Linked DNA regions of Cricetulus griseus. The protein of the gene in region 1 interacts with the protein of each later gene in a pairwise test. Links are inferred from orthologs where the notes say so. Each region holds a gene or a part of one and is shown on either strand. Other genes may lie near its edges.

What was found.
Region 2: the proteins of protein LDOC1-like (region 1) and Gnl3l interact in binary tests that used the Homo sapiens proteins (3 or more experiments, as listed by UniProt). The two-hybrid records come from large-scale screens. The link is inferred for Cricetulus griseus from reciprocal best matches to the Homo sapiens genes LDOC1 and GNL3L.

Annotation. Positions count from the first base shown.
Region 1 is NC_048604.1:11,336,494-11,338,952, forward strand, and holds protein LDOC1-like, read right to left. Parts: upstream 1,041-2,459; coding exon 588-1,040; downstream 1-587. UniProt on the Homo sapiens protein: May have an important role in the development and/or progression of some cancers.
Region 2 is NC_048604.1:108,472,910-108,476,564, forward strand, and holds part of Gnl3l (guanine nucleotide-binding protein-like 3-like protein), read left to right. Parts: intron 1-101; coding exon 102-185; intron 186-495; coding exon 496-631; intron 632-1,472; coding exon 1,473-1,576; intron 1,577-3,459; coding exon 3,460-3,604; intron 3,605-3,655.

The sequences.
Region 1 (2,459 bases):
AGCAATCTGGTCCGGCAGAGGAGGAACCTGGAAGTAGGTACAGAACTAACCAGGCTGTAAGAATGGCCCCTTCTAGGAGGGTTGGTGAACTGTCCAAATGAGAGTCTGAATAGATGTAGCCAACTCCATCATCTTCTTCCTGGTCCATATCTTGAAAAGTGGATGGCTGCAGATGAGATGCAGTGGGGGGTGGTGGTGGGGGGGGGTGAGGTGACAGGCATCCACTTCTGGCAGATGTAGATGGCGATCCATCAGAAGCCAGCGGCAGGAATGCAGGTGGTCTGACGAGTTCTAACACAGGCCTGGACAATGGCTGGAGCTCAAAACACAGTTCAGATTAGAAAGGTGCCCGGATTGGTTAAAATTGAACACTGTGAACCTCAGAGCCAGGCCCAGGCCCAACTCAAGCACTCGTAGCAGGTAATTGGCACAAAGACAAGCACTAAAAGGGATGAAGGAGCGAAGTGATTGGCAGGGAAGAGAATGGCAATGCAAAGGGGGGCACGGAGGCAGCAGGAGTAGCGGTGGGGGTAGGGAGGACGCAGCGTGCAGGGTCCTCCTCATGTAGGCCTAAGGGGGCTCGGGGCCTAGCAATCAACCGCTTCACAGTCGTCGTCATCATCATCATCATCATCTTCGTCGTCATACCAGCCAAAACACTGCTTCATCTCTTCAACAAACGCGCGATAATCACAGAGAATGGCGCTATCTGTCTGGATGTACGGCACCACCCAATCCTCGGCTTTCCCGGAGAGGAGGCTGATCAGGAATGCCACTTTCATGGCGTCGTTGCAGAAGCGGTCCTCATTCACAAGCATGTAGGACATCGTCTGCACAATAAACTCGGGGAGCCGGGCGTTCTCGCCATTAAACGGTGAGGGGAAGGGCACCGGACAGCTGGGCGGACGTACCTGGCGCAGCAGAATGGCCCGCTCACACACCAGCAGCCGCAGCTGTTTCATGAGCCGGTTGTTCTCGATGCACAGGTCGCGGTGTCGCACCAGCAGCGCGTGCAGAAGCAACACCAGCTCGTCCACCATGGTGACTCGCTTGGCAGGTCTCGGGCTCTCGGGCTCGGATCGGCTCCGCGGAGCTGCTCAAGGAGGCCGTAGAGGAAGTGCGTGTCCTCAGAGGAGTGCTGACCCTGGGCACTGCGCAGAGGGGGTCTAGCTGGTGGCGGAAGCTCCACCCACAAGGTCACTCTGGCAGCCAATGCGCCAGCGCACTGCGGTGAGAAAGGCGTGGCGGAGGGGAGTGCTGGTGGCGTGGGGGTGTGGCCAGGGTGGGACTGACGGACCGAGTGGACGTGGCCCAGGAGGAGGAAGGCGTGACCAAGGGAGCATCGCCCCGGGCCTCTGTCAATTCCCCCAGCCTGATGAAGAAACGCTGGGGGAGCCAAGCCTGCCACAGTGGAGGGCTGTGCGAGCATAGAAGCTCAGCACTCAGGGCTGGCCTGCTTCAGCTTAAACTTCTCTGCAGCCGACCTGTTCATCCAATACAGTGTTCCTCGGTGGGCCTGCAGCCATCAACATTTTTTTAGAGTAATGCTTTCTTAACACATTTCCTTGCTTGTTTAAATTTCACCCAGAGAAATAACACTGACACTGAGGGTCATACTGCGGGAGATCATTTGAGTTTAGAGACTTCAAGACTTGCAAGGGGTGCTTTCATTAAATACATAAGTAATTGTCAACAGGGGCTTCTCTTCAGTTGAGACAATTTCACCAAAAGATCTCCAAATCTGCACAGAGTATCCATTTGCCAACATTCTATCTTTGATTCTTTCCATATTCCTGTTATCAGTGCCTTTGTTCCTAAGTTATAAACTGTGATGAGCTCTGTAAAATAACTTTGTCTGCCTATTTTAAACGTCATTAGTTGTCGATAACTAAGTTTGGTCCAGGATCCTTGAGCTGATAGCTATTGGGTCTGCTTTTTAAAATACATCTCCACATTCAGTCACTTCCGGGCATCTCTGCTACCTCGATCCCAGCCTTCTTTCACGGTCTGGTCTGCTACATCTAATCCCTTAGCTGTCATTCTTCCCCTTTTCTGCATATTCTCTAGAATAGCCTCAGAACACTTTTAGAATGTGAGTTAGAGCCTTTCACTCCCCATTTCGACGTTCTCCAGCAGTTTTTCCCTCTCTGCTGCTCTGAATAAAAAGCAAACCCTTGGTCGTAACATACAAGGACCTCCTTCTGCATGCCCTTTTTACATGACCTCCTGTTGTCCTAATCTCTGCCTCGCCTGCTAATTCCTGCACACATCAAGCAGATCTCGCCTAATCTCAGAGCCTTTGTCCCTTCTAGCTATCTTTCCCCCTTTACTTGCCTACCTCATTTTATACTACTTTGAGAAAGGGCTTCCCAAACTGTCTCATCTATATGTGAATTGTCTGTCGGCATGTACAGCTCCAACCCTTACTTCACTTACCTACGTAGTATTTATTATATTAA
Region 2 (3,655 bases), about 97 Mb from region 1:
CTCCTTCCTTATCTCCCCTTCTTTCTTTTCCATCCTTTTTTTGCATCTGCTTGCCCCTTTCTCCTCTATAAACTATTACTCTCTTTTTTCTCCTCCTCTAGGAGGAAGTTTTGCAGGAATTGAATATGTTTCCTCAGTTGGATGATGAGGCCACACGGAAGGCCTATTACAAGGAGTTCCGTAAGGTAGGATTCATTTCTTCCCTTTATCTTCGTTTGTTTTGTTTTTAGAGAAGGTCTTATTCTTTAGTCTAGGCTAACCTAGAATCCACTGTGTGCATCCCAAGCTGGCCGTGAACTATTTGCAGTCCTCTTGTCTCATCACAAGTGTTGGGATTATAGACTTGAGATACATAACAGGTACCCGTTTCTTAAAGCCCTTTGGTGAGGACCCCAGTGCATTTTCATTTCTTCATTTCTGTTTATTGCTGACTGAAACAGAGACTACTACCCAGTCTGTTCTCAGGCTTCTTACTCTGTATTTTCTGTCCTGCAGGTGGTAGAGTACTCTGATGTGATTCTGGAAGTCCTGGATGCTAGAGACCCATTGGGCTGCCGCTGTTTCCAGATGGAGGAGACTGTCCTTCGGGCAGAAGGCAACAAGAAGCTGGTCTTGGTCTTGAATAAGATTGGTAGGTTTTGGAAGGATTGGGTAAGGCAGGGAATAGGGTAAGCTAAGGCTAGCTTAGATTAGGCACTGAGACCTATCAGCGGCATTCATAATTGCTATTGATAGGAATTCTTGTTCAAATTCCCAAAGCCAGAAATATTGTCTGGTACACACACAGACACATAAAGAATGTAGCATGGCTTGGGGGTAGAGTCTGAGCCTGTTTGCCTTTCAGCCCCCTTTCCTTGCAATTTTGAGCCAGTTCTGTGGCTGGTCATTCTTGGAGACCTGTCCCCACAAACCGGAACACAAAGATTTGGACAAGAGAGAGCACATGGCTTGGGACTCACTGAGGTATTAGTCTTATCGTACTTTGGTATTTTCTTCTTGATAGCAGATAGATCATGTTGCTCATGACAACTTCTATTTCTCTCATAGTAAATAGGGGCACGGCATCTCAGTCTCACAGCTTTATTGTGAGAATTACTGAAGAGCTTGGTGCAAATCAACATTTGACAAATCATAACTGTTCTTGGTGATTTTTTTTCTTGACACTTAGCCCAGCCTAGAATGATTAGGAAAGGGAATAAGGTATTTGGGCACATTGACTTGGAAGGGGGATGTCTGGGACAAAACTACTTCTTTACATATTTTCTTCAAGAGGGTAAGCCTTCTTAGGGAGGGCCAACTGGTCCTGTGGATCAGATTGTTCTCTATGACTCCATTCTGGGGAGCATGCAGGGACAGTTAGGGCAAGAGGAGCGATCTGTTAGTAGGAGGTAGGCCTAGACATGGGTATATGGCTTAGGGGAAGCCACAGAAGTAATGTTCTTACAAGTCCCATCTGTTTCTGTTTTTCCCAGACCTGGTTCCCAAGGAGATTGTGGAAAAATGGCTGGATTACCTTCGCAATGAGCTGCCAACTGTGGCTTTCAAGGCCAGCACCCAGCATCAGGTCAAAAACTTGGTAAGCTTGAAGTAGGAGTATCTAGCCTCTTTCATTGTGGTTTGGGGTTAAGGTTGTAGGTCTTACGATTTGAATTGGGCTTTCCACTTTGAGGTATTTTCTCTAGTGGGTGACTTGTTAATTTTTATTTTCCTTTACTTCTTCCTATATCATTGCCCTTCAGAAAGCATGCTTTTTTGGCTGTGAGGATATAATAATATATACTGTCTATAGGAGATATGGGAAATGGAGTTAACTACTTTTTAGCTCTTCAAAACATTTCCCCCTCTTTAAAACAAGGCATAGTAGGCTCAGTGGTTAAGAGCATTTGCTTCCAGAGGACCCAGGTTCAGTACCCAGCACCTACATGGCGGCCATCTATAACTCCAGTTCCAGGGGGATTTGATACTTTCTTCTGACCTCTCCAGATATGGTACACAGACATACATACAAACAAAACACTTATACACATAAAAATAAATGAATATTTATTGGCTATCCTCCAATTCACTCTGTAGACAAGGTTGGCCTCAAACTCAGAGATCCTCCTGCATATCCTGAGTGCTGGCATTAAATGCATGTGCCAACACCATGACTTTAGTAAATAAATAATGTTTAAAAAGAAACCCATAGGGCCGGGCGTTGGTGGCGTATGCCTTTAATACCAGCACTCGAGAGGCAGACGCAGGCGAATCTCTGTGAGTTTGAAGCCAGCCTGGTCTCCAGAGAGAGTGCAAGGATAGGCTCCAAAGCTACACAGAGAAACCCTGTCTCCAAAAACCAAAAAAAAAAAGAAACCCAAAGAAGGCATAATATTTCCTATTGGTATCAATATAGAATACCTGTAAAATACTGAGATGTTAGAGTAACATTAATTGTTTTGGGGGAGATAAATTGGGTTCTGGGGGACAGGTTTTTCAGTTTTGTTTTGTTTTTTTTTGCAGTTCTGAGAATGGAACCCAGAGCATCTTGCCTATGTAGACACTATCTCTGAGTCCCTATTTTCCAGTTTTTATTATTATTTAGGCAGTGCTTATGTTAATCCACTTATACTTCTCTCCTTGGCATGTAGACAAATATTGGTGTGGGCTGAGTACTGAGTAATAGTGTGGCTGTGTCATACATAAGCCTTATGCTTTCTATATTTTCTTAGACACGGACAAATTATCCTCTACAATAGCTCTGCCAAGTAATCTTCCTCCCACTTGGGTAGCTGGATGTGTGAAGAGGACCTTTTTCCCTATACTCTTGCCAACATAATATGGTTAACTTATAATTTTGTGGTCCCCCCTACACACACATCAAAAATAAAAGTAGGGAGCTTGGGATGGCCTTCTCCTGTGTGAGCAGCCAGCTTTGGGCCAGGTACCCTCTGCACAGGCGGAGAAGTCAGGCTTCCCTTTTGTGCATATGAGACACTAAGGCCCTAGGAAGAGAGAGAGGCTTTTCTTCATAGTCCTGGGAGTGAGAGAGCTAGAAATGAAACCTAGCTTGCCTGAAGCTGGGTTGTCTTCATGTTTCTGTTGTGGGAGGCAAAACTCATGTGTGTTGTTGAGGCAAGAGAAGGAACAGAGAAAATTGTAGACATAAAGACACAACTTAATCCCAGTACTTGGGAGGCAGAGGCAGAGGCAGGAAGATCTCTGAGTTTGAGGCCAGCGTGGTCTACAGAGTGAGTTCCAGGACAGCCAGAGCTGTTACACAGAGAAACCCTGTCTCGAAAAACAAACAAACAGAAAGGCACAACAACTGGAAACAAGGCAGAACTGAGATGTAGTTGCTGTCAGAAGCCTATGAGATTAGTGAACCCAGGGCGGTTCTGAATATTCCACTGCGGGTTAGAAATTTGGCCTTAGAGTGTATCTCCCACCTGATGCTCATTTTGTAATATACTTCATTTTCAGACTCGGTGTAAAGTTCCGGTAGACCAGGCTTCTGAGAATCTGTTGAAAAGCAAAGCCTGTTTTGGAGCTGAAAACCTCATGAGGGTCCTGGGGAATTATTGCCGCCTAGGGGAAGTGCGTACCCACATTCGTGTGGGCGTCGTAGGTAAGGCTGTGCAAATAAGCAGGGTCCTTGGGGAAGGAAGGAGGGAAGGGG